Linked DNA regions of Notamacropus eugenii. The protein of the gene in region 1 purifies or fractionates together with the protein of each later gene. This does not show direct contact. Links are inferred from orthologs where the notes say so. Each region holds a gene or a part of one and is shown on either strand. Other genes may lie near its edges.

Region 1 (7,080 bases):
CTCCCTGTGCCCAGCTCTGGGGGTGTGTAGACTGTTCCCTTTACCCATATCCAAAGTATCCTAACTCCTAGAATACCCAAAAAGCTGAGAATTTATTCTATCAAAATGCAAGTTTAGTCCACTAAATTTAAAATTGTTGAGAAGTTACTTTTGTGCTAGCCTCAGAGTGAAATCCGTGGGTTGGCATATTCTTGAATGTGGGGTAGGAGGTACTATGCTAAACTCTCCCTAGAAATCTCCGAAACAATTGAACTTCTCTCCTTCCCTGTTTTTTTCATCTGAAAAATTAAAGGAGTTAGATGAGATAAACTATAAGGTTTCTCCTGGCATTGTCCATGATTCTACAAAATTCAAGATTAAAGATATATGTCACACTTAGGAAGGAAGGGAGAGAATAGCAGCTAAAGACAGGGATAGAACCCAGTACTGACAGAAAATAGTAGCTAAGAAAGGGAATCCTGTTCTCCCCTCCCTCAGTTTTCCCAATTCTTCAAAAAGCAAGAAAGAAGGATTATTGGAGGAATTTAGGCTACTAAAAGAGATCTACTCTAAGACCATAGGCAGGAACCCCTAGAGTCCAAAAGAGATTCTGAATTAGATACCTGGGTTTTGTCCATTTAAGTCCCTTAGGTGGTAACTAGAGGTCTCAGACTCCCCTGCCCTACCTATCTCCCAAATCTGAGGGCATCTGTATGCAAGTGATTAAAGTACTAAAGCAACTTAGTTCTTCTCACTATTCCATCTTTTCCTAAGTCTAAGGATTCTGAAAAGATAGGTGGGGAAGCAGAATAGATAGGTCCCTTGGGGGCTTACCCTCCCAGTGGATCATTGGCAGCTTCCTGGAACACACTACCAGGCTCCCAACTATGTCGTCTGAAAGGATCACAAATGTAGCTTCGGGCCTGATGGGCTTTTGCTCTTCGGCGGAGCACTGGTTGGAAGCCATCTTCCTCTTCCTCCTCTTCTTCCTGAGACTGCCCGCTGGGCTCCACGGCTGACAGGCATCTCTGAGTTCTTCCTTGGGGCTTGGGGTCTCCTCTTGCCAGGATGGCCTCTGGGATTTTGTCATTCATGGAAGTGGCAGATGGGCTGGCCTAGACAGAAGACAAATAGAGGTTGGGGGAAGGTAGGCTTGGGTATTCTCCTTCAAGGGCCTCCTACTTTGGATGAGGAGAGGCAACTCTCATCCTTCCAGGCTAGCTTCCTAAATATCTTTCATTTTTGCTTTTTTTTAATGCCAGGGTTTCCAGTTACACCAACCAACTTTGGTTTTTGTTCCCCTGAGACAGACTTCTCTCACCTTATCAACTGCACCCTCTTTCAAATGAATGAATGAAAATAACTATATGCTAGTTATTAGATATAAATACAAACAAGTATGTTTTGACAAATAATTGATATGGCCTTTCTAGGAATGGTAGTGTTGATATGAATAGTTTCCAGAGCTATTGTTCAAAAGGGGTGGAGTATATTCTAGGTGATTTGGCATGGAGATGGGTTGTGAAGTAGCAAATGAGCCCTTCTTAGAGACAGGCACTTCGGTAACAGTGCTCATGCTAGATTATATCAAAGATCCATGAACTCTCCAAGGACTTTTGACATTGAGGGTGATGAAATCCCAATCCATGAAGCAATTCCAACCAATCCACCAAACCAATGCCTAGTCCACATTTTTAAGCCCTTTGCTGTGATGGAGATACAGGCATCTGAGTTTCCAGGGACTAATTCTCTAAGGATTACACCTCACTATCCAGTGAGATTTCAGGAGTGGTTATAATCTGTTGAAAGGCAGGAGGGTCATTCCCTCTGCCAGGACCATCAAGGGAAGGGGTATGAAGGTGGAGCATAAACTTCTCCCAAGTCCATTGGTTACCCCAGGGATCTCCTGAATGTCAAAAAGTTCTTCCTATCATCTATTTTCCCTCCCTCCCAATCCAGTTTGCCCACTATCCCTGGCTACATGCAGAAGCTACAGAAAAAGAGATTGTTGGCCAGTCATCTACAACCTTGTGACCCTTTACCACCTAAGGCAGACTCAGGCTTTTAGACTTCTGCAGCTGGTCTTTGTTCCTGACCAATGGAACCCAGGGATGGAAAGGGAAACTAGGTGCAGCCATTGTGCCTATCCATGTCCTTCCTATGCCAAGGAGATGACAAATGTGTAGCCAGCCACCAGAAGAGACTTTCTTCCTTCTCCATAGCTGGGCCTATGCCATTTGTACAAGCTGGCATCCGATCATGTTGGCAGCCAGGATAGGTATGTCTGAAGGGAGTGGGAAAGATGTTGAATAGCTCTGGGGTCAGAGCAGGACTCTCTGTCAACTGCGCACTTTCCAGAGAAAGGTAGATACAAAATTGTGTGGAACTGTGGCTGAGGGAAAAGGGACAGGAACTAGAGAGGGACTGGAGGGGGCACAAATGAGGAGAGAATAGGAGCTTTATTGTCTCTAGATGCACATGGAAATAAGTAGTGAGTCTCCACCCCTATCTCCACGCAGCTAGGTGGTGAAGTAGATAAAGTGCTGGAGCAGGAGTCAGGAAGACTGGAATTCAAATCTGACCTCAGACACTACTAGCTACGTGACCCTGAGCAAGTCACTTAGCCCTGTTTGCCTCAGTTTCCTCATCTGTAAAATGAGCTGGAGAAGGTAATGGCAAACCACTCCAGTATCTCTGCCAAAATAAACTCCCAAACCCAAATGGGGTCATGAAGAATTGGACATAACTGAACAACAACAAACCACCCCTATCTCTCTCACCTGCTTTTTCTCCCCTCCACCCCATAGCTCCATATCTAGAATTAAAATAGGAAGAGGCATGGCAAGCAGAAGGAAATGAACCGAAGTCTTTTCCTGTTTTCTCTCCCTTCCTGGAGACAAATCACCTGATCCCCTAGCCCTACAAACACAGCCCCTGATTCTGATATCACGGAGTTCCTCCCTCTTCCTTCCAAAGCCCAAAGTGCCCACTTCCCTGGTGCCAGTACCATGCTGGTCCATCCAGGGGAAGGCTTTCCAATTCTCTCTACCAGTGGTGGGATTCCCTCTGCTCACATTCTAGTCTTTCTGAAGATGGAATCCCCAGAAGTTCTTCCTCCCTCTGATGACACAGAGACAGGATTTAGAGTCGGAATGAATCTTAGAGATCACATTGACCAATAGCATCATTTTCCAGAGGAAGAAACTGAAGGCCAGTGAGGCATTTCTCAAGCACTGTGATGTGAAAGTCTCTTCTTACACTTCCAGAAAATCCTTTCTTTTGTCCCTGGGCTGTCACATAGAAGCCTCACTCTACTCTTCAAGGGACTGGGGTTTGGCTGCCTCCCCAACAGTACCAGCTCTTGGTAATTCCTTTCCCAAACCCTGGCCTCCTTGCTGCATTTCCTTTTCTGTTCCATGATCTTTATTCCTTCCAAAGACTCTCCCTCAAGCCCTCTCTCCCCACAGGCCTCCTGAGCTTAGGAAATGGAACAAGGGAGTAGTAGCCAGAGCTGGGTCTCACACAATGGCTTTATTTAGCTTCAGAATGAGATCATATCATGTCACAGTGCTGTTTCCACTGAGCATAGATAGGAGGTTCCGAAATAGATCTGAGTTGTTCAACACTTTTGGGGGTGGGGTGGGGTGGGGAAGAACCTCAGGAAGAGAGTAGGTCAGTTCATTCATCCCCTTCAAGGTAGGATGGTTCTCTTGCCCTGAAGGGTCAACATGCATCTCCATTTTCAAGCACCCTTTCAAGAACCATCTCTAACTTCAAGGAAGCCTTTTGGGTGTCTAACCTGCATCCCCTCTGCTGCAGTTAACAACTGAACTAGTCACTTGGTCAACATTCTTGGAGCAATGAGCAAAGTACTCAATGTTGAGTGATAGAACAGTTAAGAAGAAAAGAATGCAGAGGGGAGAGACGCATTCACTGAACTGAATTCAGGTTGAGAGGAGGGGGAACCTTGTCTCTAAATTGACCATGGTATTCAAAGAGGTTACCTGAGATACAAGCTTTTTGGAGGGGCAGAAGAGAAGTGAGGAAGCAGGGAGAAAGTGTCAGTCCATGTTGCAGTTGGAGAAAGGGAGTCCTGAGGAGCCTGTCCAAGGCAGAGAGAGCCAGGAATGGGGGTCTGAGTATCTTCAGCTATTACCTGAATTACATGATAGCGAACCATCTTCACAGAGAAAAGAACAGAAGACAAACAGACTGAAATTAACGCAAGACGGTGGGACAGTTACCCAATAAAAGGAAGAGACCCAGACCATGGAAGGAACAAGAAAATAATCGTTTATATTATGATTCTTTCCTAGGGTTTTACATACATTATCTCTGTGAGGTAGGGGCTATTATTATCCTCATTTTAGAGAAGAGGAAACTAAGACTCTGAGAAATGACTTAATTAGGGTTACACAGCTGGTAAGTGCCTGAGGCTGGATTTGGACCCAGGACTTCCTGATAGCACTTCCTGTCCAGCATTCTAACCACTGCACTAGGCTGCCCTGGGCACCCTGAGCAGAAGACAAAATGCCTACCCACAGAAACACTCTACCAGTCTGTCAGTCTGGCTTGGAGAAGGTGTTACTGGGTCCAGAGGCTGGCATTCCCACTTACCTAGTGTGTAGGGAGAGGTTTGGGCAGTTGAGAGGGTAATGAATGTAAATGAGAGTGTGTAGGTCCAAAGCATGACCAGCTTCCAGCCCCCAGTTATATAGCTGGAATGAAAAATGAAGAACTATCTCATACTAAATTAGGAGATAATCCCCTAAAGAAACCAAGCATGTCCTAAAAGAAATCAGGTAGAGACAGTCCCTCCACTCCCCAAACTGAAACATTTTTAAAAATTTTTCTGTCCATTCCATCAGTTTCCCTGAAAAGCTGGGTGGTGGAGCTGTGTTCCAGAAGTGTTTGCTGCCAGTAAATGCTGGGGTGTGTGTGTGTGTGGTGTGTGTGTGTGTGTGTGTGTGTGTGTGTGTGTGTGAGAGAGAGACAGAGACAGAGACAGAGACAGAGAGAGATGGGGGTAGGTACATAGAAGGGTTGGAAAAGAGAGGGAAACACAGGAGAGTAGAAAGATGATTGCGTCAAACTAATAACCAAGCATTTTACAACTGGGAGGCAACTTTGATCGTTTCTCAGGCCTAGGAGGCTCCTAGGAACTGAGTTTTAGGTTCTTAACTGTCTCTTCAAAGTAACTTTAAAAAAAAGACACCTACCTCCTAAAGATACCTATCTCTTCTCCCCCTCTTTCCCCCCCATCCCCTCCCCACTTCAGAAGAAGGAGAGGCTGGATGTTATGGTTTAATGGCTTCTTTACAGGCCTTATAGCTCTAGGGAGCCAGGGTCACAGACAGTCCTTTGATGGTTCAAAATTTAACTACACTTCTCCTCTTCTTGGGTAAATCATTAATTCAAGTCCTAGTGTGAGGACTAAAGCATTCATGCTTAAGTTAGAGTCTCTTCTAAGACACTTAGTGAGAAAGGTCCCAGTAGATTCTGTATTATCTCTACCTCCTATAGCACCTGGTGACTCTCCTAGCCTAGGGCTGACCCCAGGAATCCAGGGCTCTAATATTTCCTCCTCACTCTGGCAATTTTGAATCCTGAGGTTATTAGAATGCTGGGCTTTGTATGTTCAAGTCACAACCCCACCTCTGAGGACCTGAGAAGAATTTCTGACAAATCTTCGATCTCTACCCTGGGTATCCTGGCACCTAATTAAGTACTTAGCCCCAACCTCTCAGTCAAACACTGAAAACAAATGCAGACCCAATTCTGAGACAGGAAGAAGAGAGAATGATGGGACTAGGATCCCTAAATCCAGAAACCCAGCCACCTCCTGACCCCCAAAGTTAATGAGATGGGACACAGGCACTAACTCTGGAAGGTAGCAAGGCTGGGGATATACCAAGTACCCCTGCCACTGACCCATACCAGTTTCCAGGCTTGCCTCCAGCCAGCCACTCACTTGTATACTCTAGGGCCAGACTGATGAGTTAGCCACCAGCTCTCCAGCAATGATCTCCAGCAATTCAGTTCTGTTGGGAAGGGACCACAGCATCCCTTCACCTCCTAAGACTAACCACACATTCTCTTGCTATAGCGTATAACGGATCAGAAAGCAAGACATCTCAGCTTCTTCCCCTTCACCACAAGCAGCAGTTTGACAGGGTAAAAAGGTGCTGGGCTTGGGATCAGGAAAACCTGTTGCATTCAAATCCCATTTTGGACAGAGAGACCAGGGGGTAAATCACTTAATCTAAGCCTGTTTCCTCATATATAAAATGAGGAATAGTCATTATAGTACCTACCTCAGCAGGATACTGTGAGGCTCAAGTGAGACAATATAAACTGTTAAGCACTATGGCTATCAGTTTTCTTATCATAACCATTACTATTCCCCCCACCCCTGAGCTACCTTTACCCTGAGAGAGCAATTCCCTTACGAGGAACTAAGAGGTAGGCATGGTGGTATTCAGAGAAGAGCATATTAAGTTGGGAGGAAAGGGGAGAATGCCAATCCTCTTTCATTTAAGGCTGGTTTCTTGGCATTGATTCCAAATACAGTGGTAAAGAGGTAGGACAACCAGAGGTTCAGTAGGACACACACGAAGGAAGAGACTTTGGCCAGGGAATGGCTATCCTAGAACAGAATTTCCACCACCCCCATCAAGAAATTTCTGGAGAACAACTAGAAATAGGGCTTGGGTCCCCAAGTCATGGGGATATAATAACATGGGAGCTGGAAGGCTAGGGTCTCTGTTGCCTTCCCCACTTCTACCCTGGGAGGAGAGACAGTATTTGCTTGGGGGGAAGGGGAAAATGGCTTGATGGCTGAATGAGGAGCTCCAACAAGAAAACATACATCCCAAACATACTCCCACAGACACAATCGAATGTTAGAGCTGGGTGAAAGTCAATGAGGAGACAAAGGGTTTAGTGATTTATCAGGGGGCTAGAGAGGCTTCCTAAAGAGTACCACTTTTCTGGTTACTCCTGTTTTTAGACAGGAGCTTGGGTTGGAGGAAAGGGAGGAACAAACTCACCGTTGTTGGGGAACCTACTCCAGCCCCCTGCAGATGAGACTCTTTCCAGAGA
Region 2 (7,198 bases), about 360 Mb from region 1:
AGTGATCAAGCTAAAATACTGACTGGGCCAATAGGGGACCATTTCCCCAACCCCCACCTGGCTTGTGGATAATGGGCCCATGACTTGACTGTACTGTGTGGACAAGAAATATTTATTCCAGTTGACATAACACACATGGAGCAGAATAAGGAAAGATCCTAGCAACAGAGGCAGGTGTCTAAAGTCTAGTTGTGAAAGAGTTAATGAAGGCATGGGACCTAGTCCTGGTCAGATGCCCAATGAGCTAGAGTCACTGTTCAAAGGGGAACCAGTGTGACCTGGGAAGTTTTGGACTTCCCAAGAGAACTGCAAACCTGTCAGGCTCATAGAAATTCTCTTGGCCCTACCTTAAAACACTGAATTCCACTCACAACAGTTACCAAAAAAAAAGGTTTCCAGCCAATCTTTGGTTACAACCTGAAAGGCTGCCTGTGCCTTTGCAAGGCTAGCTTTAACCTGGAGCCAGTTGAATTTCAACTAGAAACCAACAGACCACACCCAGGATGGCCTTAAATCAAGCTCTAACCTCCTGTTTGACTACCCCTGGAAGTCAACAGAAAGCAATGGCTCAAGGTCTGACCAAGGACTGACCAAGACTGACTTGGAATTGTTTCTAGAATCACCCTCCACCTTACCCACAGCCTCTAATCTGGCACTTCCCAGATCTGAAGCCCCAGGGCCAAGCTAATGTGGGTTAGGATAATGCAGTCACATCCCCAACCCGCCCAGGCTCAGACCAGGAGGGCCTTTCCACAAGGCAAAGGAGCATGCTCCTAAACAGTCAAGGCCTACCTACAGTCCCAATTCACAGTGCCCGCAACCTACCTACAGAGAAATCACTACAATATTAATAGCAGCCCATTTATCTATAGCATTTTAAAGGATCATAAAGGATTTTTCCTCACAAGGACCAAGTAGGATGTATAGTTTTATCATTAACTCCATTTCACAGAGAGAACACTGATCTATCAAAATGCCATCTTCAACCTCAACCTGACTGGAAACAGCAGAGAAGGCAGCCAGTCACACAATCCACTCAGGGTCTCAAGTCATCCTGGTGTGGCCTCTTCTCCAAAGACGGATGGAAAGGAAAAAGCAAAGCTCAGAGCTCCCTAGAAGACTGAGAGCAACTCCAACGTTCCCACTGCCTAACAGGGACCAGCAGGACAGAGCTTGGGGCTTTCCTTGACAGTTCTGAGGCCCAAATATAGGGTAGGTTTCAAGGCATCTGATTCATGTCAGACCCTGGCCAACAGCAAGTAGACTGAAAGCCATGCCTCACTGCACTTTCCTCTTACTGTGGCCACTGGCTAGAAGACAGGCTGTCATTTTGTTGACTGCCTTTATGCCTGCTAAGTCTCCAATCCAGGAGCCCTGTTTGAAAAAGAAATAAGCAAAAAACTGCCCCAAATGCTGCCCGCCCCCCCATCCAAGAAACCCTCTTCAGGACACAAAGTTGTGTCTGGGGCAGATAGGACAGAACAGAACTCAGAATCAGATGTCACTAAAAGCACCTCCAAGGCAGTCACACTACTACCAGCTGGCCGCCCTCCCTGTTCATCAGCATGGGGGGGGAGGAGAGTGTTCAATTTTTTTTTCAGACAGCTCTGGGGAAAAGAGCAAAGGAAAGAGAGGAAAAAGCTCCAAGATGCCAATGCTTTACCTGTTTCTGGCAGAACCAGGTGAAGTCATCCCGATGTAAAGCTAGGGTCAGAGAGCCTTTCATGGGGGTGGGGAGTCTCCCCACACATCCCTGCCAGCGAGGAGGGGAATCCTCAGCACCCAGCTGGCTGCTGACACTGCCTTCACGTGGAGAAGCCTCCGAGGAACAAGATGGGGCTTCTCCTTCTTGGCTCTGCTGCCCCTTGGGCTCCAGTTTGCCAGGCTTCCTCTGGGGAAGCCTCCTGTCACCTGTCTGAATCTGGGATGTGCCATAGGCCCGGAGCTGGGCTGAGGACAGTGGGAGCAGCTCTTCCACAAGGATGGGGAGAGGTAAGGGGCCCCCAGAGGTGGGGCACCCTAAGGGTGCAGAAGCCAGACTCACATCAGTCTTTCAAGTGGCTGCGATCAAATAAAAGGCAGCGGGGCACTCCCCCCAACACTGGCATCCTTCAGCAAGGACCTGAAAGATCCGAGGGAACAGGAGGCTTTCATTGTCCGCTCAGCCCACCTACGACCCCCCAGAAAGTGGAGATCCAAATGCTGAGCGGGCGTCCGAGTTCATTCAGGCAGGGTCTGGGAGACAGTGGGGGTGGCATCAGAACAGGCTGCGAAGGCTCCCGGGGGGTCGCGGCCCCCCCACCTCCGCTTCACCCCCAAAGACAACACAGACCCAACGGTCGTGGGGAGGGGCCCCTGGGGCTACTGACTGCGGGATGCCAGGGGCAGGGCGATGGGACCACAGAACAGGGCGGAAGAGGCTTCCCAGGGGGTGCCAGCCCCCGCCCCCCAGGTGTCAGAAGCGGGTCAACTTCGGGTGATGCTGGGAGGAGTGGAGCGATGTAAACTCCGGGCTTCCGCGGGCTGCGGTGTAGACCCCGGACTGCCGGAGCAAGGGGGCAGGGACCCCCGCCAGGCTCTCCGCCCCCTCCCCCTCCGTGTCAGGAAGGAGGGCGGCCAGGGTGCAGAGGAAGCCCGGGGTGTGGCCACCCTGCCCTGGCGGGGTCAGGGGCCCCGGGGCCTCGCGGACCCCGGGCGGGGCGCGGGCGGAGCAACAGGTTGCCCGGAGAAAGTGACAGCGGGACGGCGGGCGCTGGGGTGCCAGGGCCGGGCGGCAGCCCCGTCCCCGAGGGGAGGCAGGGGACGGCAGGCCCGGCTGGCACGGCGTGGGCAGGGGCAGCGGCCCCGGACGGCGCGCTCCTACCTGCTGCTCCGTGTCCCTCTCGTTCAGCGTGGGCAGGGGGGTCCGGGCGCTGGACATGGTGCCGCCGGGTCCGGGGGCCCGGGGGCTGCGGGGAAGGGCCGCGGGCGCCGGGCGGCTCAGCGCGGGGGCCCCGGCCGCATGGGCCCCAGCCAGGGGTGCGGGGAGGCCGGGCCGGCCGCTCACGCCAGCCCGCGGCTGCGCCGCTTGGGCTAGGCCGCGCCGGCTCCGGGCGGCTCCGGGGCGGCCCCCGGGCCCGGGCCCGGGCTGGGCTGGGCCGCCGCTCGGCCGCGCCGCCGCCTGGCCCGCTCGCCGCCCGCGCCGCCCGCGCCGCGCCTCCGCTGCCTTCAGCGGCTCCGCTCCGCGCCCGCCTCACAGGCAGCCGCCGCCGCCGCTGCCGCCGCCGCCGCCGCCGCCGCCGGCCCTGCTGCTCCCAACATGGCCGCCGCCGCCGCCGGCCCTCGGCTCTTTCCGCCGCCAGCGGCCGGAAACAGCCGAAGCGCCGGGCGCCCGGCTCCTGGCTGAGGCTGGCCTCCGGAAACAGCCGAAGGCGGGAGCCACGGGAGCGCGCTCGCCGGCCCAGGGCTCCGGAAACGGCCGAAGGGGAGCGCGGCGGGCGCGGCCGGCCCCTGGACACGCCCACTCGCTCCTAAGCCCGCCCCTCCCCGCCCCTTGCAGACTCCGCCCGGGCTCTTTGCCCGCAGCTCGGGCCAGGGCGGCGAGCGGCGTGCTACGAGCTGGCCACGCCCTCCGCCCCGCCCCCGCAGCCGGGGGCGGGCCCAGGCTACTTCCGGAAACACCCGGAGCGCGGGCTGTCCCCGGCCTCACGGCATCCCCGGAGCGGTACCCAGGCGGGGCCCTTGGGGGCCGGCCCGCAGAGGCCCCGCACACCGCACGGAGGCCCGCGGGGCCGACGTCCTCGGAGCGCTGTGTAACCCTTCAAGCGCCGCCGGAATGGGGCGGCAAAGACCGGGACCTCTTCCCCTGGAGAACGAGATGGGGGCGCGGGGGGGTGGGGCAGGGGAAGCCGGATGTGGGCGGGGCCGGGGCTCCAATCCCACCCTCGAGCCGCCACCTGCGTGGACAGGTAACTGACGTCAGCTTCCCGAGGCTAAACGGGAGCACGTACACTTGCGGGGTTACCGAGCGTTTCCGATAATCGGATCCTGCCCCTCCGGCCGCGCGGAGTGCACCGCCCTGCCCACGCCCCTGAGCGGCTCCTCCGTCTGCGGCTGCCGCGGACCGCAGAGACCCCTTCGTTTAGAGCAGAAGTTCGAGAAACCCTCAGCAGCCTCGGGGCGACGAGCAGCAGCGACGCTGGCACTCGGGGTCCGTGCCTCCCCTGGGAGCCGCCTCTCTGCACGTCTGACCCGCGGCCGCCACCTGTCCGGGCGAACGCACCGCCCTCGGAGACAGCTGAAATGAAGAACTTCGTCCTCCAGGGGAGCTGAAAGGTGCCCACCCTCAAGTGGGCGCCCAGACTGGTGCAGGGAAGGAGGGCTGGCCTTGGATCCGAAGACCTCCCGGACTGCAGGCTCTCTCTGCCTCAGTCTTCTCTTCGGTGGAATGGGACTTAGGATCTTCGTATCACCTCCCTCACATGTCCTAGGAAAATAGAAGTTATTGCAAGTGACCCCACTTCTGCTTCCTGGAGCCAAACAGAGCAAAGCAGTCTGATGAAGGGGTGCAGTGGAGAGGGCAGGGCTTCCTGCCTCAGACGCTGGCTATGTGACTGTATGAGCAGGTCACCTCTCAGACCCCATTTCCTCATCTATAAAAGAGTAAAAATACCTACTTCACAGAGTTCTTGTGGAGCTCAACTGAGATGGTGCATGTGAAGCTGTTTCTGAGTGCGGCCTCCTGGCTCCTGTCTGCTTTGGCTCCCCACTTGAGGCAGCCTGGCTCCAGGATGACTCTCCACCACCTACTTTCTCCCAACTCCACTTTCCCCCTTGGAATATAAACTTGTTGAGAATAGAGACTGTTTCGTTTTCGTTATTTTTTGTATCCTCAGCACTTAGCAGAGGACCTAGCACATAGCAGGCATCTAACAAATACTTTAATGGAATCTAGTCCCTCTTGCACATGGCAGCCCATCAAAGACTTGAAGACAGCAATTAGTATTAGCAGCAGTGGTATATTACTATGATTATCTTTCATTATTAAGGCACCATATAAATCAGTTACTATTTGTCTGTCAAGCAACCCATCTATCCCTCTGAAAATCATCTTCATTTTGTTATCTTATTTACTGCAGATCGGATTACTTGCTGGTGGCTATGGTCAGCCACATACAACAGTCCCAAGGATACCCCATAATCCTAAAAGCTGCATCAGGGATGGGAAAGGAGAGGAACCAAGGAAGCTTGCTGAAGCTCACGTCCCTACCCCCACAAGTCAAGAAGGCTCAGGGGTCTCCCCTGACCCTGGCACACTCCAGGCAGGCCTACACTCCTCAACAAGACATGAAAGGGAGACTTCTAATGATTGCTGCCTTGCTGATAGCTCTGGGCTCCCAAAAGGCTGTTATTAACTCATATTTCCTAATCGCCCCTTTGTCATTCACTGGCTGAGGCTATAATGTCCACCAAGCATGTAAAAGTTAATACCACTGAATAATTCTGGATGCTTAGAAGAGCTCACCAGTCTCAGGACATTTTAAAGGTTTCCAAAGCACTTTGCCCTGTAAGAGAGGTAGTATGAGATTATTAAACCCATTTTAGAGTTGAGGAAACTGAGATGCCAAAACTCACACACTGACAGTATCAGTACTGACACCTAGATCTCCTGATGCCAGGAGACCTGCCTGTGCCTCAGTTTCTTCATCTGTAAAATGAGGGGATTGGATTAGATGGTGTCTAAGGGATCCTCTCTTCTCTGTTTTGACCAGATGATCTGGAGTGTTATTTTCAGTTCCAGGCACCATGTTCTGAAAAGGACATTGATAAGAGTCTCCGGAAAAGGGTGACAAGGAGGGTGAAGATGCTTGAGTTCATGGGCAGGATTGCAAAGCAGAGACTGAGACTGGAAGTTGGGAAAAACCTTCCAACCCTTCAAGCCACCCACCAGTGGATGCAGCCACCTGGGCAGGTAGTAGCAGCTTCTTCCTTAGATGTCTTCAAGCAGACACTGGCAGGTCACTTGACACCAGTGTTGTCATGGGTGTTTTCCAGGTTTGGCTTGGATTAGGTGGCACTAAGGTCCCTTCCAATCCCTAAATCAAGTTATGGGATTCTTGTCCTCCAACAGAAGGACCACAGAAAAATCTACACAATGCCCCCAGGGTATTCCTCTGGTTCTAACAAAGAACAATTGTAGCTCCTATTCTAAAGATGATGCCTAGACTTTGCCTTCTGGTAGCTAGCTAGCAAGCTCACCCCTGGGAGCTCAAAGTTCTCTATGGATGAATATTTCAGGGACAGGAATAATTTCAAACTGGATGCCCTGCAGGCACCTAAAACTCAGCTTGTCCAAAACAGAACTCATTATCTTTTTCTCCATCCTCCCTCTCCTGACTTTCCTTGTTTTTGCTGAAGGTTCCTCCCATCCTTCCAGTCTCCCAGATTCCCAAGGTCTCATTGTCATCAAGTCCTCACACTTCCTCACCCCACAGGTCCAGGCAGTTGTCAAATCATGCAGTTTCTCCCCTTGAACCACTTCAAATAGGTCTTTTTCTCATTATCATTCAATTACCTTAGTCAGACCCTTGTCACCACTCTGCTATACAATTATAACGACCTCCTAATTGGAGGTCCCTGCCTCCCTGTCCACTCCCATAGTTGCCAAAATGGTTTCTTTCCCACAAGCCACAGACTCTTGTTACTTTAGCATACCATATAAACTCCTCCATTTTGCTTTTAAACCTCCTGACAACTGGACCACCTTCATTATCCACTCCACCCTTTCTCAATCTATGGTCTTTTGAGACTGGATTTTTCTCTGTCTTCCGCTCTGGGCTCTCTGTCTCTCATCTTTATGTCTTTGTACTCGTCTTTCTCTCCCCAGACCTGAAATTCATTCCCTTCGCAACTCCAACACCAAATTTCTCACTTCCTTCAAGACTCTCATGAAACACCACCTTCTGAACAAAGCTTTACCTGTCCCTTTGTCTCCCACAATTGCTGATACCTTCCCAAACTTCATTTATAACTACCTCGAACTGATTTTTGTATTTATTCAATTTTATATACGTATATGTGTTATCTCCCTAGTAATCCCCGTTTCATTTTGCATTCCTGGCACCCAGCATATAACAGGAGCTTAATTAATACTTGTCAATGGATTAGAAGGGGGTATTGAAATCAGAATCGGAAAAACTCAAAAGAGGCTGAGATCCAA

Evidence for each region. Proteins that work in one complex are often made in the same cells at the same time.
Region 2: the proteins of ARHGEF2 (region 1) and MARK2 purify together in Homo sapiens (affinity purification with western blotting; 3 studies listed by BioGRID and IntAct, with this or other methods). This does not show direct contact. The link is inferred for Notamacropus eugenii from reciprocal best matches to the Homo sapiens genes ARHGEF2 and MARK2.

The regions. Positions count from the first base shown.
Region 1 is NC_092873.1:380,102,202-380,109,281, forward strand, and holds the start of ARHGEF2 (rho guanine nucleotide exchange factor 2), read right to left. Parts: upstream 3,006-7,080; 5' UTR 2,990-3,005; coding exon 2,987-2,989; intron 1,095-2,986; coding exon 814-1,094; intron 1-813. UniProt on the Homo sapiens protein: Activates Rho-GTPases by promoting the exchange of GDP for GTP.
Region 2 is NC_092873.1:16,682,918-16,690,115, reverse strand, and holds the start of MARK2 (serine/threonine-protein kinase MARK2), read right to left. Parts: upstream 3,021-7,198; 5' UTR 2,921-3,020; coding exon 2,864-2,920; intron 2,096-2,863; exon of another isoform or gene 2,045-2,095; intron 1-2,044. UniProt on the Homo sapiens protein: Serine/threonine-protein kinase. Involved in cell polarity and microtubule dynamics regulation. Phosphorylates CRTC2/TORC2, DCX, HDAC7, KIF13B, MAP2, MAP4 and RAB11FIP2. Phosphorylates the microtubule-associated protein MAPT/TAU.